Linked DNA regions of Arabidopsis thaliana. The protein of the gene in region 3 interacts with the protein of the main gene of each other region in a pairwise test. Each region holds a gene or a part of one and is shown on either strand. Other genes may lie near its edges. The genes, in order: AT1G22570, GONST1, ZF14 and AT2G41820.

Region 1 (5,541 bases), about 14 Mb from region 3:
TAAAATAATTATTCAATATTTGCAAATATCTTAAAAACAATGGACCCATCGGTGTTGTGAAACCAAAAATAAATGCTATCCAATCCAAACCCATGCAATGATAGATATGTTTTTTTTGGTAGGCTCCTCTACCTTATGTTTAAGTTGCCAATTCTATATACTTTGGAAATAAAACGAAAAAAAAAAAAGAAGTCAAACTATAAACATGTTAACGTACAAGTTTGATATGAAAGTCAACAAAATTACAGTAGAGACTCTATAAATTAATACTCGATAAATTAATAAACACGATAAATTAATAAATTTTGTCGGTCCCAAGTTGGGCCAATATAAAAATTAATCAAAATCGATAAAATAATAAGATAATAATTTTTTTAAAATCCCTATGTAAAATTATAGTCCCAATAATATTATAAATTAATAATCATAGATCTTAAGTATATATCTTAAGACTAATTTTTATATGAAATTTTTGTTCAAACTAACTCTTTTTAAAATACAACTGATATGATCTCTGTTGTACTCACATAACTATTTGCGTATTTGATCCGTCATAGTTGATTTTGTAAAATCTTTTATTTGAGAAAGCATTGTTATGATTTGTGTAAAGAGAAACTGGATTAACTTTCATGTTTACGTTTACGTTCACGTTAATGTCGTAGATATACAGATACAAATCTTGACGAAAATAAATTAAAAAAGTCAAATTAAAATAAAAACCTAACATAATTATATATGCAAACAACAAAGCATATAGAAAATTACATTAAAAAATATTTTTAAAAGAATATAGTATTGTACTTTACGTAAATATTTCTATAAATTAATATTTATTAACTTATACGATAAATTAATATTTATTAATTTAGAGGATAAATTAATATCACTATAAATTAATAAAATTTCATGGTCTCACCATTATTAATTTATAGAGTTTCTACTGTAATACTCTGAATTCTTCTTACCAAAAAAAAAAAAAAACTAGTACTCTGAATTCTTAGACTTGGTCTAGCCGACGATACACATACATCTTGGAGATGAACAAGAACGCAAAGAAAGCAATGGCCGTGAAAGCAGCGAGCAACCAATAAAAGTAATCCACATGGGCTCGGTTCAAGTTAGAGTTGAACCAGCCGTCTTTTCCCGTAGCCCAATCAATCAAACTGATGAGAAAACCACTCAAGAAGCTTGAAAGACCCATCGCACTCAGAGAAAGCGAGAGACCAATGCTCCTTAGCTCCGTTGGGACTTGGTCGTAGAAGAATTCTTGTGTTCCCACCATAGAGAACAGATCGATCATCCCGAGTAGCAAATACTGAGGGACGAACCACCATATGGACATTGGAACGGTCACGTCCGGCTTGTCCACTAGCCCGTGTTCCCTAGCGATTTTTAGCCGTTTTGATTCTACTAATGCAGCGAGCATCATATTGAAGACTGAAAGCACCATTCCAGCTCCTATCCTTTGGAGCATTGTGATCCCAAAAGGCTTTTTGGTAATCTTCCTAGCTATCGGGAGAAATACACGCTCATATAGGGGCACTGAGATGAGAATAGATACACCAACGAATGACAATAAAGAAGCCGCTGGAATTTCTACTCCCGGTAAGATTCTTCTGTCCACCGTGACCCCTTGCTTCGTGAAGAAAGTTATGTACTGAGCGTACGGAATCGTGCTCACCACGTATGTGATCCATATCGGAATAAGCCTTACCAAAGCCTTCGCGTCATCCACGTCCCTACCACTACATGGCTCAACACCTTCTCTTGAGATCATTGCTTTTGCTAGGAAACTTGTCACACAAGGTAAAGAAATTTACACTCAAAATTATGCCAAAAGACTAAAACAAAACACAAAATATTCGAACTTACTTGAGCCGATCTTTACGTTTCTCGGACTGACCATCCTCCAATAGACCTTGATCCAATTCCAAACTAGAATGTTCTAACCTCAGTTTCCGATTCTTGAACGCAATAACAAAAACTCTACCGATTCTTGCAAAAGTGTTACTACTATTAACCTCCTCATGATGTCCCTTTGGGTATCTATATATCTTCCTCCCGAGCAAGAAGATAGCAAGAGCCATAACCATAAACAAACAAGGAATCCCAAACCCAAACGCCCAATTAACATTTTCTTGAACATAAGCGACCACAATAATCGATATGCTTATTCCCGCAGATAAACTCAAGAACCACCAATTGAAAAACGACCCTCTCGCTATTACCTCCTTCGGATCTTCAGCATCAAACTGGTCCGCACCAAACGCTTGAACACACGGTTTGTGTCCACCTTGTCCGATCGCCACCAAATACAGAGAACAGAAGAAAAGTGTATTAACCCAAATAGATGGTTTAGCAGAAGCGTCGTTACGTTGCTTAGATAATCCCATTATGATTAAAGAAGCTGATAACGTCAATAGTCCTAGCCCCTGTAATAATAATAATCCTCCAAATTCAGCTAAAATCCCGGTTTAAATCATACAAAGATCAAACCGGTTTAACTAGAAGAAGACAAAAGTACTAACCAATATGTAGATGAGGGAAGCTACGACAATAGTACGGTAACGACCAAGATAAGCGTCAGCTACGAAAGCTCCTAAAATAGGAAGTATAGAGGCAGTTCCCGACCACGTGTTCACGTTCACGGCAGCTTTCGCCGTCGATTGTCCGAGAGGTCCGGTGAGGTAAGTAATCAAATTGCAGGCAATCCCAAAGTAAGCAAACCTCTCTGCAACTTCCACACCTAAACAAATCATTTAAGACTGGGACTTAGAAGTTTAACTAGAAAAAGAAAAAAAATTGGATTGTTTCTGATGTGTTTTACCTATAATGAACCAGGCCGATCTCCATCCGCCGGTGGAAGATTTTCCGGCGGGAAATCCACGGTGGTCGACGGAATCGCTAACGTAATCTTCTAAGAGTGCAACTTCTTCCTCTGGTATCTTCATTTCTCTCACCAATAGAGGTTGAGAATCTCTGTGAAAACTTTTTAAAGGGTAAATGCCTAAATGAGATTTTTAAGCTAAAAGATCTCTTTGTCTTGCGCAACTAGTGAACACGATTACATTAATTTATGATATTTTGGGTAACTAAACTTTCTAGTCTTTCTTTTATGTGTATCTGTATATTTATTGGCATTTGAGATGAGTGTACTATACGCGTTAAAAAATAAGTATGCAATTACATTATCTTATTTGTATTTTTATTTTATATAACTTTCCGATATTATTGTATTATTACGCAATAATACGCATACTTCCTTTGGACAAGTGATACACGTACGAGCTAGATATTTGCCATGTTTTGTTTTGTATCAGCAAATTCTTTTTGTCATTTTTTTCAATCAAAAGTCAACATCAAGGGTAATTTGATTGATCACGACTTATTCTTAAAATTAAGTTATAAAAAACATGTAACTTAGTGATGTACAATTGTTATTTGAGTATAAATGTTGATAGAATATTTAGATGTTTTTGGGTTGGATCGACCAAAAATCCATATATCATTCAAGCTCTTAGACTTAGGCTTAGCTAACCATAATTTTGACGTATCATTTTATTTGTAAATTCACTTACTTTTTAGTCACAAAAGCAACATAATTGATCACTATTATTTCAAAATTAGAAAATTCGTTAACAATAAAAAAAATAGACAACATTTGTATAAACATTTTACATTTGTATAAATGCTGAGACTAAATCAATAAGTTTTTAATTTGGAATATTTATTATGTAGTTGTATATTTTTCTTTCTCCTACTTGGCTAGTGGCTACTTGCATGCTCTTTGGTCCGCTTGTTGCGGTGTTCCGTATTTATGATCGAGTTATTCTTATCTCCTGATTAGCTGTCACTTCATAACTTCTTTTTACTTGCAAGTTGCAGGGTAATATGAATGTATTTGTTCACAGCACAAGACTATACTCTCCACAAATCAGCAAAATACATTCTACACGAATGTTTCCTTTTTTCTCAAGCTGTGGTCACTAAATTTTATTTTTTGGCTAAGATGTTTGTGATAGATCAGTCAAATAGTCAAAATAATATTTGTTCATAGCAGAAATAATCTCCTGTATTTCAGTTTTGAATAGTCAAATATAGATTGATTCTGATAAAGTTGGAAACCTTATCAGCTTTGGACACACAAAAAAAAGTCTTATCAGATATGTTATCGCGCCAAGCAGATGAGATGGATTTTGAATGTTACTTTGTCTTTTCATGTGTAATAGAAACAGAAAAATTCGGATTACTCAAATTGTTGACAATTTTTCGAGTTTTTGAAAGTCGCATGCTTAAATTATGTTGGCAACAATTTTCAGCATACTGCTGATTGATTCATATTTGGTGATTACGTTTGTTTCGTTGATTGTAGATTTGTTTGTTGAAGACATTTTTTGTTCTTGGGGGTTGATGTAGTAAATGAATATTAAAATCTTTATATTATTTGCATCCACTTGAGGATAAGATAATATTGTTGTCTTGCTGAGGAACGTGTTATACGTGTAGTACGTGTATAACTTGCGTTCTCTGAAATCATTCATTTAAAAAAAAAAACCTGCGTTCTCTCCTTTCTTACTACTCTCGAGTCTCAAACATTCTCTCTTTTTTATAGGCCCAAAATATTTCGAAATCAAAAGGGGCCGAAATACGGGCCTAAATAATTTGTGTGAACCATTTTATCATACATGGTTGCTAAGTTGCTATGATGTCGTATCCTTAGGAGTTAGGATTGGTACTCACGCCTAGACTGAACGGCGTGACATGCGGAAGATCGATAAATGGCATCATGACCTAACAATATTGAAAGGATCGAGATATGTAATATCTTTAAGCTCACGAAAAGATACAAACAAACATCGAATAAATTATATTTACATGGATTCCTCTCTTTTAAAGTCAAACAAAAAATATTATGACTTGGAAGTCTTGAACATTGAATGTTCTTTAGAAGGCACTATACCGGTGTACCGGTGTTTCAAATAATGTCTTAAGTTTTAGTGGAAATTTATTTACTTCCCAAAAATGATCTCTAACTATCTTAAGGAACAACCATGCAGATAAAGAATTTTAATACTAGTTTATGTAGAGTGTTTCATATGTATTTTTTTCCGTCATCATTAAGTTCGTAGAAACTTCTTTTGCAAGTACGAAATTTTGCAAGTACGCTACACCAAAGTATGGGTTTGTCACTTGGTTAATGATGAAAAACAGGTTAGCAACAGGGGAAAGGATGTTTCAATGAAACCAAAATGCAGATCAAAGCTGTGTCTTATGCCAAGATCCTTTGGAGACAAGAGAGCACTTGTTCTTCCAATGTCCGTATTCGAGAAAGGTGTGGGAGGAGCTGGCACGGGGGATCCTAGCAAACAAGTTCACTGAAAAATGGCGGGATATCATGAGGGAGCTTGCGAACAAAAACCGAGACACAACGAAAAGGTTTATACTAAGGTATGTGTTCCAAAACACGATACACTCTATTTGGCGTGAAAGGAATGATAGAAGACACGGAGAAAAACCATCAAGAAAAGAGAAATTTGTCAA
Region 2 (6,669 bases), on a different chromosome or scaffold from region 3:
ACCAAAAGAGAGATGTGGAGGGTAATACTATTTCTAAGCTTATAAAGTGAGAAGTAAAAATAGTAAGTGGTGTTTTTTTTTCTTTTTTTCTTTTTTGTCGGCCTAATATGTTTTATAAAAGCCCAAATGGGCAGATATTCGGTACAGAAGATGGCCAAAAGTTAGCCCACTAATTGCAAAACACAAGATAAGAAAAATAAAAAAGAGATACGTGTTATGCAATGTGGGATGTTGAGAGAAGAAAAAGGTTTCGCCGTCACCGACTCATCATCACCGGAAACTTCCTTCATCAGCTGTCACCGACTCATCATCACCGGAAACTTCCTTCACCAGCCGGCAGATCAACTCAGTCCTCCAAGAAACCTCTATCTCTGCCTTCGATTGTACCTACTCGCCTTTTGCCATAGATCACCAGAAGAGATTGGTTGGACCTAAACTTGATCACGAGAATTTGTAACCTCAGCCGATTAGCCCGAAATATTCATCAGAACAAGACGAAGACTCCAATTCTTCATACTCCGTCCCAATCAACCGCATCAACTTGATCAATCCACCAAGGAGAACCGATGCTCTAAACAAGCCCTTTTGGCGGAGCAAGGAATTACCTTCACTTGGGAGAAGAATCAAGCACTCAATGAACAAGGATCCATTTGATGACTTCTGGAATTTTCATCTTCCCGAAATTGGAAGAGTTAATTTGAGCCTGCAAAAGGCAACCAAAAGAGAAAGAAAGAAAGTAAATCCGAACAAGTCGGAAAGAGAAACCGGCATCAAAACAGGAAATCTAAAACACAAACCAAAAAGCTCTGATTGAAGACGGAGATTACAAAAGAAAAACAGAGCTCCCTCTCTGTAAAAGATATGAAAGAGAGAAGAGATAGAAAACTCTTTTCATTAAATGTTATAATACGAAAATGATATTCAACTATTTGTTCTCAAGAACAAGATGAGTGTCGTTAACATTAGAGTGTGAATATATTTTTGTTATAAAAATTGTCATGCGTTACGGAAAAAACAAAATGGTCATGCGTTTGGCTACACTGGTTCTTTTGGGCCTAAAGGATTTTATTTTACGTGCTCGAGTAACTTGGGCTATGGCTAGTGGATTTAGAAGTGGACTGTGTCAAAGAGTCAAAATAGATAGGCTAAAATTTCTGGTGGAAAGAATTAAGCCGAAAGGTCAACGGTATGGTACAAAGCAAAAAGGCAAATGGACCATTATTGCCAAACTTTTATTTTTATTCATTCAGATTTTGTGTCAAATTGCCAAGTTTAGAGACACATAACAGTAGTACACTTTTGCACTGACTATCAATTTAAATACGAATTCTCACTGATTAAACTAATTAAGACGCATCATTATAAATTTCTTAAATCATAAACACTAGAATCCAAAATCGATTTTCATTTTTCCCTCTTTTCTTTTTTGAATTCTTTCCTTTTTTTGATTCCTTCTTCTTCTTTAAATTCAAAATAATCTCTTATCTCTATGTCGATTGATGGTGCGAAAGAGAAAAAATTGTGCCTCAATTTGCTTAATTAACGAAAATTCGTGATTAAATTGAAAATCAACATAAAAATTGAGAATTTAAATTACCAGATACAGAACTCATAGTTTAAATCAACAAAAATAGTAAACTACTGATTTAAATGACATTTTTCCAAAAAAGCAAATTGTACAACATATTGTGTGATTTGGACCATATGGTACCAAACCATTATAACTAAATTAGATAATTTATGTTTATATTATTATTTCTTCTCAATATATAAGAGATTTATATAATAACCAATAACTATAAAATGATGAAAATTAACAAAATAACATCATAAGCTCAATACCTTAGGAGAGAACATATTTAACGTGTAACTGTCAAAGTTACTCCAAACAAAGTTTGTGTTCTTTTTTTATAAATAACAATGTTTGTGTTGAATGACCTCAATGAAGAGATTTGTTTGATAGTATTAAATAGCTAATATTTTCTTAAATTTTAGTATAGTTATGACATATTTGTATATGGCCTATTTGTATATGATCAGTATTATTCTGTTTTATTGTCTTAAAAATGATCAATATTATTCTGTATTTATAGATAAAAGGCTATTTTTCGCTTTGGAATAATTTTTAATTTCAAGAAATACATACTAGTTTTATTTATTCATTTAGACATGTTTGACATGAGTAGTTGATGAGTTTGTCAATTTTGAAATACCCACTGAGAAAATTTATTTTGTTTTACATAATGGAACTTCCTCTAACTTACGAAACTCTTAATTTTAATATAAATAAACAAACGAAAGAAACGAAAATTGGTCAGTTTTTTTTTTTTTTTTCTCTTCTGGTCAATGCCATCTCTCTCCCTCGTCTTTTCAGTTTCCTAATTTCCATTGTTTCTTCAAAACAACATTTCACAGATAGCTCCACCACGACCTGACGAAGATCCTCCGCGTGAGCAAGTTTCATGTTCTTCTTCTTCTTCCGATTCATAGTTTTTTTTTTTTCCGGTAACTTGTCATCAATTAGATCTCGTCCGAAGTTGAATCTTTAGTTCGCGAGCTTTTGGACAACTTCGAGGTAAAATTCGTTATTCTCTACACAACTTCCGATTAACGCTTGTGTAGCTACTCTCAACTTTGCTGCTTGATCCAATCTCGTCTTAAGTTGATTTTAGCTGCGAATTGGAACCGAATTGGTTTTTATGTAAAACTGTTACTTTTTTTGTGCGTGTATTGTTAAGAATGATGGATCTAGTTATATAAGCTTGAAAGAAGTTAGTTTCTTTGGTAGGTCTTAGCTTTGCAATGAAATTGTACGAACACGATGGAGTTGATTTAGAAGATGGGAAGACAGTAAAATCCGGAGGAGATAAACCAATTCCAAGAAAGATACATAACCGGGCTTTGTTATCCGGTTTAGCTTATTGCATTTCATCATGCAGTATGATACTTGTCAACAAGTTTGTTCTCTCCAGCTACAACTTCAATGCTGGGATCTTCCTTATGTTATACCAGAACTTTGTCTCGGTGATCATTGTGGTTGGTTTGAGTTTAATGGGTCTAATAACTACTGAACCACTTACTTTGAGGTTGATGAAGGTCTGGTTTCCAGTGAATGTCATCTTTGTTGGTATGCTTATCACAAGCATGTTTAGGTAAGAATGTGTTTCTACACCTTTATTTTGTGTTGGTTTGTTGAATTATATATCGATGCTCTCTTAATTCTCAAGCCTATAAGATTACTAAATTAGTAAAGTCAACTTTTTGGAGTACTAAAGGTAGTTATAAGAATCTGTACATCATCTTTACAGCAGATCGAGGATTAAATAACGTGTAGACACTTAGGTGAAACAGATAGATATTTTGGATTTACTTCACAGTAGGTCGAGATATATAGATATGTATCGTATATGTGTATGTAGGCGGTGTTTGAAGAGCAGATTGAACTTGATTGTCTATTTGAATTACATTTTCTTTGACAGTTTGAAATACATCAATGTAGCAATGGTCACTGTCCTGAAGAATGTCACTAATGTGATAACTGCAGTTGGTGAGATGTATCTGTTCAACAAGCAACATGACAACAGAGTGTGGGCTGCTCTCTTCTTAATGGTATGTTTGTCTGCTTTAAAAGTATTTCTAACTGATTCTGTAAATTGTACCTGAGAAAAAACTATTCTCAAGGAACCTATTTCAAGCTGCACATAGATAGCATTTTGATTGGAGTTTTTGAAAGATATCCTTGTCAAACAACGATTCTATACTGTTTTGGATTTGGTTTTCTCTTGTTTTCTCAAAGCACTCTCTGATCATCAACCTTAACCAATAAAGTCTAAAGCATATCTTCTTATTGATAAGTGATCCACCCTTTTGTGTGCGTACACAGTTACACTTGTCGTAGCGGCTTTCAGTGGTGTGGCATAGCCTAACCTTTCAATACTGTTGGAGATACATGTTTTTAACTGCTTCCACAATTAGTCTGCCAGGGAAATGTAATCATGTTTTTTTGTCACGGCTACTCATTGTTATATGTATATTCTATTTGTTTTTGTATAGATCTTGAATAAGTAGAGGATAAAGTTTTGATTAACCTGTGCTTCTTTCGTCCTTCATTTGCAGATAATTTCCGCAGTTTCTGGAGGAATAACAGACCTATCATTCAATGCTGTTGGCTATGCTTGGCAGATTGCTAATTGCTTCTTAACTGCATCGTACTCGGTGAGTAAACATTTGATCATTTGTGTTTTCTTTTCCCAAAATGTTAGGAGTCATTTGAAACAATAAACACATATATGAAAAGGAGATCACTTAAAAACCATGCTTTCATGTCGAGTATTACATGCTGTTTGGTTAAGACTAAGTCAATAAACTAAACAGCCTTCCCTATAATCATTACGATACTGGCTTGCTTTTGAGTTTTAAGATGCTCACGAGATACCGAGATTCTGTTACCTTAGAAAATTTTATAGCTTGCAATCCATTGTCACTGGTAACCTGAGTACTTCACTCGTTGTTAGAAGTAGGAATAGCATGTTAAAGAGAAGACTTTGGGCAAAGAATGCAAATTGACACCATCAACTTCTCAGTTCTCACTAGGTTTTCCATTGCTGGGTCAAAAAACGAGAGTGTTAGACTGTTAGGTTCCCATAAATTTATCCCTATATCCTGTCAACAAAAACCAAGTGTTTGGCTTGTTAGCTAGGCTACTATACTCTTATAAAATTTGCCACCACTTTTGACTTGCCTTATATTTTGTTGTTTTGCAGCTGACTTTGAGAAAGACCATGGATACGGCCAAGCAGGTTACTCAATCTGGAAACTTGAACGAGTTCTCCATGGTCTTGCTTAATAACACACTTTCATTACCACTTGGGCTTCTTCTTTCTTATTTCTTCAACGAGATGGATTATCTCTATCAAACGTGAGTTCCTGTCCTTATTTCTGTGTCAATGGAAAATGGTTTGTGTCATCTGAAAACAAAATGGTGTATTATATTTGTGCAGGCCACTTCTACGATTACCAAGTTTCTGGATGGTCATGACACTTAGTGGACTTCTAGGGCTTGCCATTAGCTTTACTTCAATGTGGTTTCTTCATCAAACTGGAGCAACAACATACAGGTAGCAAATTAGAGAGAGATAGAGCAATTTCAAAACTTTGCTTAAGAGAGTGTTGCTGTCCCCTAGCCTTCTCCATATATCCCTTTCCTATGTTTGCTTCTTTGTTGGTTCAGTCCTAACTAGATACATCTTTCGCTTTATTCAAAATCATAGCCTGGTGGGATCTCTAAACAAGATACCTCTATCCATCGCGGGGATCGTTCTTTTCAATGTACCGACCAGTTTGCAGAACTCAGCAAGCATACTCTTTGGTAAGCGTTCTCTCGATCAGTTCCCTTTTCCAACTTCTTGAAGGAACACATATCGCTTGTGTTGTGTATTATTATTAAACCTGAGGTGGCCTAATTTGCAGGTCTTGTCGCTGGAGTTGTATTTGCTAGAGCCAAAATGAGGGAGAAGTCCTAAAATACTAACCATCTACAACACATTTTACTACATCAATCAGTATAGGACATGGCAAAAGCTGATTAAAGCAGAGCAATGAGTTTATAACCTCAGAATTCTATGCACGTTATGTGTTTCTTGTAAAAGCTTTCGCCACTCTACTTGTATAATGTTAGTAAAATATTAATGAATGTATCGATTCTTGAGTGGTAAGAGAAGTGTTGGTTTATGTGTTTCTTCGTTTTTACCAATTTTCCAGTAAAGAAATTCAATGGTATGAGATTTCAACATAAACTGAAAACCCTAGCCACCTGATGATCAAGAACGACGGAAAGATGATGAGAGTGAGAATTGCGAAGGAGAGATCTGACTTATGCGACTTGACTGCTGCTGCAATTAAGGCTACTTACAATACACGGAACCCATGCGAAGTCGAGCGATGCATCGATGTGTTGAATCACTTGAAGTCTCTGTCTCTTTCCGTGAAGGATATACGATTGTCTGAATCAATAGTTAAACTGGAGACTTTGAGAAGTCATAGGAACCCTAGAATCCGTAAGGAAGCCCAAGCCTTGTTTCATTCATGGTTGAAGACATTCTACGCACATGGAAGCGACAACTCTTTCACAGCTGCTCTTACCAAAGATCGTCTGAAGATGAAGAAGCATGTTCTAAAAATGTGTTCGGAGTTGAAGAAGAAAGAAGAACCGGGAACTATGGCTCGTCAAGTCACTGCCTTTTCGGTGTTGAAGAATAAAGAAGACGAGAGATCTCAGACGACTGTTGAAGCAGTAGAGAGTAAGACAACGATCAAACTCTCGGAGTTGAATAGGAAAGAAGATCAGAGATCATTAACTCGTGAAACAGAGAAGAATAAAGCAAGGAACAGCTTTTTGGCTTTGAAACAGAAAGAGGATCATAGATCTGAGACTTGTGTCGAGAAATATTTTAAGAAAGAGACAAAGACCAATCTAAAGCAGCTCAACATGAAGACAAGGCGTGTCTCTTTGGAGGATGTTACAACGAAGAAGCCACATGAAGATGGTTCATTGATAAAGAAGACTAAAACAGAAAAGGAGCTGAAGAAGAAGAAAGTGGATGAGATGGTGAAGTTGTTCGAAGCAGCAAAGAAAGCTGCTGATGTGGCCAACGCTAAGGGTGTTCTCTC
Region 3 (5,467 bases):
TTAGAAATCCATAATATTTTAGCCAAAATAGCAAAATTCATAAATACCACTAAAAATGGCAAAATACGTAATAATCCTGTTTACTGTTAGTATTATTATTTTCTCATTTTACTATAGTTTTCCATATATAGATATAATTAACTGTGTACAGTACTGAAAAACAACTTCTATCTACAAAATATACTTTTTTTTTACCGTGGTTAATCATCTACGTTTGATATCTTTAAAATTTCGAAATAGCTTCACCAGTAAATTTAGAATGAGTATGATTGACCTCATAGTGTTTACCAATAAAAGACAAAAAAAAAAAAAAAAAAAAAACTATTCACGTGTAAATAATAACAAAAGGTAGATGTCCAAAACTTATAATATAGAATTGTCTTTTCTTTCGTCATAATTCAAAGGCCAATGAAATTCGAACTTTTTATCGATGGCCAATGAAAATCAAAGATATTTCAGCAAGCCAATGGAATTCAGTTTACTAGGCTTTACTTATTTTATTTCTTAAAAATATCTATAGAAAAGGAATATCAAAGGTTGAAAGGTAATTCATATCGTCGACACGTAGACGCATTATCGATTCCACTCAGTTTTATTTCATTTTCTTGTCATATTTGGTTTTATTCTTTGGCCACATCGCTGTGAAGTTCGTATAAATTCATGTTCTGGTCCCAGGACAAAAAAAAGTATACATAAAAGAAAAGATGCTTTCTCTCTGCTCAAAGGAAACAACCAAAATCAAAATAAATGTGATCTCAATTAAATTTTAAAACGTATCGAATCTCAATGGCTTTGAGACAAAGAATATGATAGAATTAAAGGAAATTGTTTTCCATTTTTGGCTACGAATATAATTTCCTTTTATGGAACATGGAACCACCAAAAGCTCAAAAATAAAACATTCATCTTGCCTGTCCTTAAGAAAAGAATTGATTGTTAAATAAGCAAAGCTTTCACAACACAAATACGAATACAAAATAAATTGCAAAAAAATTAACCTATTATGGAACATTTTTACTGTATCCTTAGTTATTCTGATTGTCTTCGGCCATTAGGTTTGATCTACTAGTATGGTCTTTCTCTAGATTTCAATGGCCTAGACACGTCTAGTATCTTGGAATCTTTTTATATATATATATATATATATATATATTAAAGTTGTATTGAGGTTAAATTTTTCATTTTGATTTATACTTAGTTTTTGTGACAAAAATAAAATAAAATAAATTTATTCTTAGTTTAACAAAAAAAATTCACATTCTCCTAGAAAATGGACAAATATATAAAGATAATCAAACCACGAGTTATTACAAAAGGGAACACATAAAATACAAACTGCTGAAGTCAAAGCTAATTAGAACTATCACACCAATACAACCATAAATAACACAAACACCACTAAAGCCCACAAAACAAAGTCGTTCTTAAATCAAAAAGTAGAAATTAAGGAGCACTATAAACTCCAAAAAATGATGACAAGAACATATATGTACGTCAATGTTGATGGCAAATGCCTCCAGAGAATAGCTATCAATCTAAACCAACATGGTTCTCATCATATCTTCTGTACCGGAGGTAGACCGGCTCTTTGAGCTTGCGATGGGGAGAAGGGGCGGAGACTTTCCGGGAGTTTGTGACGTCAGCTCTTCAGCTCTCTCGGCTTGGACTTTCCAATCTGTTCTCAAAAGTGCACACAACATGAGAGAAGCACAAGTTGCTTGAGCTGCAAGCAACCCGAACCAGAGACCTGGAAACCCTTGTTTGAAAACAAACCCAAACAGAATAGCGACTGGCATGCCCACAAAGTAAAATGAACCCAAGTTTATGTTGGCACCAAGTGTAGGTCTTGCACAGCCTCTTAAAACCCCACAACCGGTTGTTTGAGGACAGTTTCCGAGCTCACATAACCCCACAATGGGTAATGCGATGGAAGTCAGCTGAAGAATCTCTGCATCCGTGGTAAACAAGCGTCCCCAATGGTGCCTAACCAGCACAGCAAACACCATCGCCATTAGGCCTAAGGCGATCGCGCAGAAGAGTGAGATGATCATGGATACCCGAGCTTTCGCCGGACGTTTAGCCCCAAGCTCGTTGCTAATTCTTGTAGAGACACCAAGGCTGAGAGAGGATGGGAAGACGTAGACCAAAGCCGTCGTTTGGATCAAGATTCCCATGGAAGCCACGGTGGCTCTTGGGTTAGCCAAAAGTCCACACAAAATGATCATAAACTCGTACCACCACCACTCCAAACAAACAGATACACAAGTGGGTATGGCAAGTGAGAGCAAAGCCGACCAACCTTTAAGAGAGTCAATAGTAATTGGGACCCATGTATCACTATGCACGCTAGTGAAATACACAAAAGAGGATAAGAGGACTACAAGGTTGAGATTTGTCAAAACCATAGCTATAGCGACTCCCGCTACTCCCATCTCAAGTTTCACCACTAGGAGGTAGTTCAAAGGAACGTGGAGGAGAACGGACACGGCCGTGGAGTAAGTCACGGGCAATGTAATGTTTTGTGTTCGGAGGTAAATTCGAAGAGGGTGAAGCAGAGAGAGAAGGAAGAGGTCAGGGATGGCGAATAGAAGGAACTGTTGAGCAACAGAGGAGATCTCTTCATCTTGGCCGCACCATAAGAGGATTCGGCGCATGTTGAGCCACGAGAAGGAGATAGGGACCGAGCAGGAGAGGAGTAGGAGGACGGTTCTTTGAAGGGTTAGTCCTAAAAGCTTCATTTGTTTAGCTCCGTATGCTTGGCCACAGATTGGTTCCATCCCCATGGACAAACCGGAGATGACGGAGTAGCCGGTGATATTGGCAAAGCCTATGGAGAGAGATCCTCCGGCTAACTCAAGCTCACCGAGGTAGCCTAAGAACAGCATCGATATCATCGCTCTTGAGTACATAAGAAGCCCGGTCATCGCCGTCGGCCCAGAGATTTTTCCGATCGCCTTCACTTCCTCTAAGCCCTGCCGCCAGATAATTAAGAAAAGAAAAGTCAAGACCAAGAACCGTCCACGTCAGTAGATCGTTTTTTTCTTTTCCCTGGTTAATGGTTAATTATATTAATCAAATAAAGCTTATCTTAAACCTTTATAAAAAAATGACAAAACCAAATCACCAACCGGGACCAAAGATTTAGGTATATATATAAAAAGGATTGCGAAACTGTTGTTTCTATTTATATATATGTATATGTATATATGCTTTTGGTATAGTTCGTACAATCTAGTTTTGTCAAGAACTAGATTCTTGAATTATTATGTTCATATCTATGTAGAAAAAAACAAACATTTACGTATAGGAAAAAAAAAGAAATAATTTACCTCCAGAAAACTTGGCCATCTTTTAAGGTCTAGAGAATCAGTATCCCTGAATTCAGAATAATGAGGATTATCTGTATCACAGGTTTCGAGTTTTGAGATATGGGTTTTGTCTTTACAAGATAATAAGGAAGATGAAGCAGAAGATGGTTTTGAATTACACATGATTCTTAAGAGGAGTAAACTGGTTTTGTTGGGAGTAGAGATAAAAGGACAAAGAGACAAAGTCTAGAGCTTTTAGTCTTTTGGAGGCAAAACGATTTTATGCAAATGATAAAAGGAACCGAGAGGAACTAATATTTTTAATATGGAATTGGTTGGGCCTTTTGGAGGAGAAAGGCTGACTATTTATAGTTGTAAAGAAGCGATATCGTTTCTACACGTGGCGAAAATTAGTTTTAATTTCTTTTTAACAAAGAATTGATTTTCTAATAGGGAAGTGGGACTTTTTTTGTTTGCTTTGACTAAACAAATCGTGTGTCCACCAAATAAGTCTGTGAGAAGAACGACACACAGGTTTAGGATAGCTCAAGAGTTCACTTTTGAAGAAAGACATAAAAATTGGTTTAGTTAACTATTTTAAAATACATCGCATTACCTTTAATAATAGCAAATCTCTTTCCTAATCTTTAACTCAACTTTGGGCTTCACTATATATTGAACTCTTTCGGTTATGTCGGCTGGCGAATTCACAGTCGTCCTAAGTGCTAGAATATCAGGCTGTTGTTACCTCTTAGGCTGAGAGGATAAAAAGCATTTATTCAATAACGGTTGGTCACATAAGTTGATGGGGTTAGTACTTGTTTTGAAAAATACTTGGGTGAACTTTTTTATTCTAGCCAATCAAAATCTACCACCTAATAAATAATATTAAATTAATTTAATTAGAAAATATAATTTGCCATAAAAAAATTATATATCAGTTATAAGAAAAAGTTAAGATTTCAATTTTATGATTGATGAGATTGAATATCGGTTTGAGTTTATAAACAGATTTAAATTTTACAATTAAACAAGTTTAAATATTGATTTAGGTTTATAAAAGATAATAAAGGTTTTAAATTTTCTAATTAAACGAGATTATATATCGGTTTGGATTTATATAATAGTAGTTAGGATTTAGATTTATAATTAAATGAATTTTACATTTTTATGGCATTTATAGATATTGTATGCTATTTGACTCAAATTTTACGGATTTACAATTTTTATACACTTAACAATGTATATACATTTATGATTTGTTTTTGCTAAAACACATACTCCATAGCAAATATTAAAAACAAACAAAACCAACTAAGGTCGGTCCTATTAATATGCCAATTTTGCCTCTCTCTTTTTTTTTTTCCTTCTTTTTTCTTTTTTTTTCTTTTTTTTTGATAAAAAATGAAATTTTATATCATTTGTGATTTGTGACACAATTACAAATTTTATGCCATTTTGTTTTTCTTTAATTCCGCTGAAACATTTAGAAACAGAGGTCGGTCCTATTTTATAACTCCGAAAATTTTAAGGTTAGGTGTAATGATGTCAAACAGGAAACTGCACTAGATTAGTCTATATACTTTCTGTGAAGATAATCCTTTCTTTTTTTGCACTAACGGTTAATTTAAGTTTTCCTAGTCAATCAAGATAAAATTTAAGTTTTTCCTATGTCTAAAATATCAAATTATGCTGTAAAATGGCATGAGATTTAATTTAGCATTTTCTTCCAATTTCAAATTGCATGTCTATTGCAACTTTAGCATATATAATTTTAACATTTAGGTTTAATGAATATATGTAATGTAATGTAATGTTAAACACTATTATGCAGAAAATGGCTTGAAAGCATGTTCATTGCCACCATACCATGAAACCTAAAAACTATTTAAAATAAATAAATCTTTATAAAAGTAAATGTAAAATATTAATAGTAACTTATTTATTATATATAACTTATTAATGTTAAAATAGCTTGTTTTCTATCAAATGATTACAATTAATTAAAACGTTGTATCAATATTTTACCACAACATGCAATTTCATTTGTTGTATATGTTTTTGGCATATGATCATTTTCTATAAAATTTGGCGTGAAAAGGATCAAAACCGTTATCGGTAGATCAGCATTTCTATTGACCAAATTTCTCACGTGTATG
Region 4 (6,761 bases), on a different chromosome or scaffold from region 3:
CCCAAAACACTAATTAGATCGTACGGTTGGTGAGCCTAAAGAAGTAGTGCTACTAATAAATGAGAATAATAGTTTTTGGTACGACATCCCACAAATCCTTAATGATGAGAGCATAAATCTCGGCATAATCTTCGTTTCAAGAGTTCGAAAGCATATTCATGAATATTCACAAATGATTACGCAGAAAGTCAGTTTGATAGGTAAAGCATCCATAAGCTAATGACTAAGTTTTCATTGTAATCATTGGTTAACATTTTCTCTAACAATGTTAATTATTGAAAATTTAAAACAATTAACTACACTTCTTATCTCCCCTTCTTCACGAGTTTAAAGCGACGAGGTGCTTCCATCATTATGTCTTCTCTTTTTCTTGTTGCTCTTCTTATGATTCGTCTTTAACTCATTCGCCTATTTGTGAAAAAAATAGATTGCTTGAAAAGCATAAAACTAATCAACTGAAAAAATGTATATGCATAATTAAAAATCAATTCATAGAAAAATTCAGTCGTACTTTCGTCAATTCATGGATTTATTTTTTGTTGTAGCTAAAACTTCAGTTGTACTACCAAAACAAGAAGAAGTTCAACGTCTTGTTGATAGTATCATGAGTTGTGAAAACTCACGTGAAAAGAAATGTAACTATGTAATAAAGTTTTTTATAGTATTAATAGAATAAAACTTGCTTAATTGGTGGTGTTATTTATATATACTTAATTAGGCAATTAGGTTTCAAGAAGAGGAAAAAAACGATGGGACGGAGGTGGTGAGTGGTGGTGGTCGGAGCAGACAAAGAAGGGTCCTACAATTTGCCTAACCGTAAAGAGCCACATTCCTTTTTCTTTTACCCCATCCCGTGAGTGAACCCCACTCTTCCTCATTCTATTATTCTCAATCTATATTTTCAAAAATAAACATAAATATACAAACTCTTTGCAGCATAAAGGAATATGTTGATAAAACGGAGCTTTGTTTATGATTTTGTTTCATTATGATATATTTTTTTTAAAACATTTACCAACAATTTCTTAGAAACATAAATTAAGAGCTAACTAGTATATCTAGTATTTCTCGAAACCCAAACTCATGTTCTTAATTTTTTATTTTTTTCTGGAATGTTAATGACTATCGGATATTTGAGTATAATTGTATGAATTTGCTTGACTGTTGCATACTTTGAATCTTTCTTTCTAGTTTACAATTGTGCAAATTAAATCAAACTCGTTTTCAGTATTTTACCTTTTAGTACTATACTTAATTATGTCATCTGTATCAGGTAATAGTTAGAGGAAAGAGGAAAATGGTGTAATATAAACAACAATTATTTGTATGTGAGTTTACGACCATCATCTAGCTTAAAGTACACACCAATGAGAATATGAACACAGTTTAGCTCAACTCATATATGATCTATCCGACATCTTTTCAATGTTTTGGGTCGCGTAGGAGTATCGGAAGCAGCTTAAGACATAGCTATTTAATAAATTGTTGGTATGTTTTATTTATAACAATTATCACAAAATCAAAAGATACTAATCTCGCTGTTTGAGGCAGACATCTGAGAAAACATGTCTTCTACCAACATTCAAGATTTGACAAATCGTTGTTTACGTATTGTTATATTGAGCATCTTACAACAAAAATTTACGTGTATTTTGAAACTCGGAAATCAATCATATCTATTGATATTAACACACAGTGTTTCCTGACTATCGTCGCAGACGAATAATAATAGTAATAATCTTCCACCTCGTGTGATTCTATAATCTTATATTCTTGACATAAATGTCGTCAAAATTTGGTATACATCAAACATGGATCGTGTTTAAAGTAATCATCAAAAATCACCACACGAGAGTAGATTCCCTATTGTCAAATATAGATCAAAGAGAAAACATGTAGGCTACAAATATAACCTAGTCCCTACGAATAAGAAAAATGTCATTATACCACAAATGATAACTGCAAAGTGTGTGTAAATTTTGATTTTAAAAGAAGGTAAAAAAATAAAAAAGATAGATTTGGAAACAATCTTTTACCTCTTTGGTATTGAACATTGTGACAGTATCAATCAGTATGGTACAGAAAAAACGTCAGAGGAAAAGAATTATCAAAAAACGTACACTCTTCATTTTCATTAAAATCTTTTTTTTTTCTTCCAAAAAACAAAAGCAGAAAAAATGTGTCAGAAAGATTTATGCAGCTTTCATTCATTCATCACTTGCACTGTCTCGTGAAGAAAATTAAACTTTTTTGTATCAGAAATTAATTACATTAAAAGAAAAGAAAAAAAAAATTCCCTCCTTTCCAAGTGCGTTTGCTTTGTGGAGTCTCTCTCTTCTCTCTCTCTGTCTGTGTGTGAAGTGAGAGGATCTTTGTTTGGTTCTGCAATCATAATTTCGTGATATACTAAAAAAAATGCAATTTCCTCTTCTCTCTTATAAGCAGAGACCCTACTACTCTTTGATCGAATTTTCCTTGCTCTCTTCTCTTTGTTCTCTCATGTTTTTTTCTCCCTAAATTTATGGGCTTTGCTCTCTCTCTAAGCCACACTCACACTCTAAAGCACTCGTCTTTCTTCTTCTTTTTCTTCAGAAACAGTTATTTTGACTTGAAAAACCAGAGCTTTAATCCTGGATTCATGGCAAAAAGAGCATTACTTTTCTTTTCCTCTCTCACTTTCTTGTTTCATTTGGCTTAAAAATTCAATGATAATTTTGTATTTGGGGGAAAGAAGAAGAAGAACAAGAGTGTGTGATTGATTCAATTCTTAAAAATGACATTTTGGTGTATGTCAATTCTTCTGATTGTTGGGTTCTTATCAAAATCTGAGCTTTGTGAAGCTCAACTAAGCGATGAAGCCACATTGGTTGCGATTAATAGAGAGCTTGGAGTTCCAGGATGGAGTAGTAATGGCACTGACTATTGTACTTGGGTTGGGCTTAAGTGTGGTGTCAACAACTCTTTTGTTGAAATGCTTGATCTCTCAGGGCTTCAGCTTAGAGGTAATGTTACTCTAATCTCTGACCTCAGAAGCTTAAAGCATCTAGATCTTTCTGGTAACAACTTCAATGGACGAATTCCTACTTCTTTTGGCAACTTGTCTGAGCTTGAGTTTCTTGATTTGTCTCTGAATCGTTTTGTTGGAGCGATTCCGGTTGAGTTTGGTAAGCTTAGAGGGCTTAGAGCATTCAACATTTCTAATAACTTGCTTGTTGGAGAGATACCTGATGAGCTTAAGGTTCTAGAGAGGTTAGAGGAGTTTCAGGTCTCTGGAAATGGGTTAAATGGTTCTATACCTCACTGGGTAGGGAATCTGAGCAGTCTCAGGGTGTTTACAGCTTATGAGAATGATTTGGTGGGTGAGATACCGAATGGGTTAGGTTTGGTTTCTGAGTTGGAATTGTTGAATCTTCACTCAAACCAACTTGAGGGGAAGATTCCAAAAGGGATTTTTGAGAAAGGGAAGCTTAAAGTTTTGGTCTTGACACAGAATAGATTGACCGGTGAACTCCCTGAAGCAGTAGGAATCTGCAGCGGCCTCTCGAGCATTAGAATTGGGAATAACGAGCTTGTGGGAGTCATTCCGAGGACAATCGGGAACATTAGTGGACTTACTTACTTTGAAGCAGACAAGAACAATCTTTCAGGTGAGATTGTTGCAGAGTTCTCCAAGTGTTCTAATCTCACTCTGCTGAATCTGGCAGCTAATGGGTTCGCTGGAACCATTCCAACAGAGCTTGGTCAGCTCATTAATCTTCAAGAACTGATTCTCTCAGGTAATAGTCTCTTTGGGGAGATCCCTAAGTCGTTTCTTGGAAGTGGAAACCTAAACAAGCTTGATTTGAGTAACAACAGACTCAACGGAACCATCCCAAAGGAACTCTGCAGCATGCCAAGGCTACAGTATTTACTTCTTGATCAAAATTCCATAAGAGGAGACATACCTCATGAGATTGGAAACTGTGTGAAGCTACTTCAGCTCCAACTGGGTCGAAATTACTTGACGGGAACCATTCCTCCTGAGATTGGTCGCATGAGGAATTTGCAGATAGCACTCAACTTAAGTTTCAACCATCTTCATGGATCATTGCCTCCCGAGTTAGGAAAACTCGACAAGCTCGTGTCATTGGATGTCTCTAACAATTTGCTCACAGGATCCATACCGCCACTACTAAAAGGTATGATGAGTTTGATCGAGGTTAATTTCTCAAACAACCTTTTGAATGGTCCAGTGCCAGTCTTTGTTCCCTTTCAAAAGTCTCCAAATTCGAGCTTTTTGGGAAACAAAGAGCTTTGTGGAGCACCATTGAGCTCTTCTTGTGGATATTCTGAAGATCTTGACCATTTGAGATATAATCACAGAGTCTCCTACAGAATTGTGCTCGCAGTGATTGGTTCTGGTGTAGCTGTCTTTGTATCAGTCACTGTGGTTGTTCTTCTCTTCATGATGAGGGAGAAACAAGAGAAAGCAGCGGCTAAAAATGTTGATGTTGAAGAAAATGTTGAGGATGAGCAACCAGCAATTATCGCGGGAAATGTCTTCCTTGAAAATCTTAAACAAGGAATTGATCTTGATGCAGTTGTGAAAGCAACTATGAAGGAGTCAAATAAACTCAGTACGGGAACTTTCAGTTCAGTTTATAAAGCCGTTATGCCTTCGGGGATGATTGTTTCGGTGAAGAAACTCAAGTCTATGGATAGAGCCATATCTCATCATCAGAACAAGATGATCAGAGAACTCGAAAGACTCAGCAAACTTTGCCATGACCATTTGGTTAGACCGATAGGGTTTGTTATATACGAAGACGTTGCTCTCTTGTTGCATCAGCATTTACCTAATGGTAACTTAACTCAGCTGATTCATGAGTCCACCAAGAAACCAGAGTACCAACCTGACTGGCCAATGAGACTGTCCATAGCTGTTGGAGCAGCAGAAGGTTTAGCATTTCTCCACCAAGTCGCCATCATTCACCTCGACGTTTCCTCTAGCAACGTCTTGCTAGACTCTGGTTACAAAGCCGTGCTTGGGGAAATCGAAATATCGAAACTTCTAGATCCCTCTAGAGGCACCGCGAGTATTAGCTCAGTTGCAGGCTCTTTTGGCTACATTCCACCAGGTATAAAGTCTTAATTTTGTTACCAGTAACTTTATACAAAATCCAACACTTTCCCTTGGTTTATTTCTGCAGAGTATGCATACACAATGCAAGTTACAGCTCCGGGGAATGTTTACAGTTATGGAGTTGTGTTGCTTGAGATTCTAACCTCAAGAGCGCCGGTGGAGGAAGAGTTTGGTGAAGGAGTAGATTTGGTGAAATGGGTCCATGGAGCTTCAGCGAGAGGAGAAACACCGGAACAGATACTCGATGCCAAGCTTAGCACCGTGTCTTTTGCTTGGAGGAGAGAGATGCTTGCAGCTCTGAAAGTTGCATTGCTTTGCACAGACATCACACCTGCAAAAAGGCCAAAGATGAAGAAAGTAGTTGAAATGCTTCAAGAGGTTAAGCAAATCAAATGAGCAAATGAATATATAGTTTCCTCTTGTGACATTCATATACAAAAGAAAACGCATTCCTATATATGCGAGCTTCTCCTCTGTGTATTATATAGGTTTTTATGATAAAATTGATCCGCTTATGGTTGATTTACTTATCCAATGACACAAATTATAAATTAGATCATAGAAGAACCAATGTACATCTTGAGGGAAACTGTTCAACAAAGCATCTGTTGTAGAATCTTAAGATTACAATACCATGTGAAAACCAGATGGCCTCTTTCAATTTTTTACACATCACACCAAAAAGAAACAAGAATTGGACAAAAGAATAAGTGAAAAGAGAAGATAGGAGTAAAAACCTAGGAGGAATGATCTAATTATAGCACGACGGAGATAATTCCGATTTATGATGCTAAAGAATCTATAAAAACGTAACCCAAGACTTTGAAAACCAAGCAAACCTATTTTTGTTATGTTTTGTTTGAGTTCTTGACTGGAATTCAAAGCCAAACATGGTTTGGATCCTGCCGATGATCAACAGCCAGCAGCTTTAAGGAAGTTGTCGTAAGGGCTTGAGGCTGGTAGTCTAAATGCTTGTGGGTTATTTTGTAGTTCTGCATAGCACGGTGACTGAATAGTTCCCACTGGTGTTCTTGGCGATTTCATGTCGAATTCTTTCGACAGTAAAGGGACTTCGACCTAAACAAATTTCAGTAATCAATACAAAAATGGTTAAACAGTTATCTTGGAATATGAAACCGGAGGCTATCCACAGGAATTCATAGCGAAGGCATACATACCCCAGTATGAAATGCTGAATTGATCATAGGATGAAAAGATGCAATCTTGATCTCTTCATCATGTTGTCGTGGAGAGCAGTTAACAGAACTCTCATGTCGTAGCTGAGAATTTAAAAGACTCGAGATCTTCTGCTGTTTTCCCATTAACAGATTCTCACAATGCAGCGTCATCTCTTTGTATGAAGCATCGGCTGCAGTATGGAAGGAAATTCTACCCACTTGACGTGTTGTCTCTACGACCTTCAAACAATACAAAATAAGTATAGTTTATAGTGTGCTGTTACTTTTGATGAAGACTTTGTAATCTAGTTTCTAGGAAGCTGAAAAATGTAACTTACAGATTCTAGAATTTGATTGACGGTCAGGAGGTCTGGGATTTCAGAAAATGTTACATGATTGTTCTTTGTAACGGTTTCGGTGCCATCTCCAAACTCTTGATCCTCCGCGTCCTGAAGACACAG

What was found.
Region 1: the proteins of ZF14 (region 3) and AT1G22570 interact in a protein complementation assay, tested with the Arabidopsis thaliana proteins (one large-scale study listed by BioGRID).
Region 2: the proteins of ZF14 (region 3) and GONST1 interact in a protein complementation assay, tested with the Arabidopsis thaliana proteins (one large-scale study listed by BioGRID).
Region 4: the proteins of ZF14 (region 3) and AT2G41820 interact in a protein complementation assay, tested with the Arabidopsis thaliana proteins (one large-scale study listed by BioGRID).

What each region holds. Positions count from the first base shown.
Region 1 is NC_003070.9:7,975,623-7,981,163, forward strand, and holds AT1G22570 (Major facilitator superfamily protein), read right to left. Parts: upstream 3,189-5,541; 5' UTR 2,952-3,188; coding exon 2,828-2,951; intron 2,826-2,827; exon of another isoform or gene 2,760-2,825; coding exon of another isoform or gene 2,747-2,759; coding exon 2,529-2,746; intron 2,433-2,528; coding exon 1,873-2,432; intron 1,794-1,872; coding exon 998-1,793; 3' UTR 802-997; downstream 1-801.
Region 2 is NC_003071.7:5,686,437-5,693,105, reverse strand, and holds GONST1 (golgi nucleotide sugar transporter 1), read left to right. Parts: upstream 1-2,334; 5' UTR 2,335-2,575; intron 2,576-2,788; 5' UTR 2,789-2,802; coding exon 2,803-3,152; exon of another isoform or gene 3,153-3,396; coding exon of another isoform or gene 3,397-3,479; coding exon 3,480-3,609; intron 3,610-4,116; coding exon 4,117-4,215; intron 4,216-4,763; coding exon 4,764-4,918; intron 4,919-5,000; coding exon 5,001-5,117; coding exon of another isoform or gene 5,118-5,121; exon of another isoform or gene 5,122-5,270; coding exon 5,271-5,368; intron 5,369-5,469; coding exon 5,470-5,522; 3' UTR 5,523-5,790; downstream 5,791-6,669. Other genes in the region: AT2G13660 (uncharacterized protein), read left to right, coding at 217-424, 489-814; AT2G13640 (Transcription factor IIS family protein), read left to right, coding at 5,816-6,669. UniProt on the Arabidopsis thaliana protein: Involved in the import of GDP-mannose from the cytoplasm into the Golgi lumen. Required for the luminal synthesis of a variety of plant cell surface components. Is required for the correct mannosylation of the glycosylinositol phosphoceramides (GIPC).
Region 3 is NC_003070.9:21,651,186-21,656,652, reverse strand, and holds ZF14 (MATE efflux family protein), read right to left. Parts: upstream 3,666-5,467; 5' UTR 3,492-3,665; coding exon 3,330-3,491; intron 2,973-3,329; coding exon 1,536-2,972; 3' UTR 1,214-1,535; downstream 1-1,213.
Region 4 is NC_003071.7:17,444,397-17,451,157, forward strand, and holds AT2G41820 (Leucine-rich repeat protein kinase family protein), read left to right. Parts: upstream 1-2,347; 5' UTR 2,348-2,773; coding exon 2,774-5,117; intron 5,118-5,189; coding exon 5,190-5,518; 3' UTR 5,519-5,712; downstream 5,713-6,761. Other genes in the region: AT2G41830 (Uncharacterized protein), read right to left, coding at 6,035-6,199, 6,301-6,540, 6,639-6,749. UniProt on the Arabidopsis thaliana protein: Leucine-rich repeat receptor-like protein kinase that may play a role in vascular tissues development.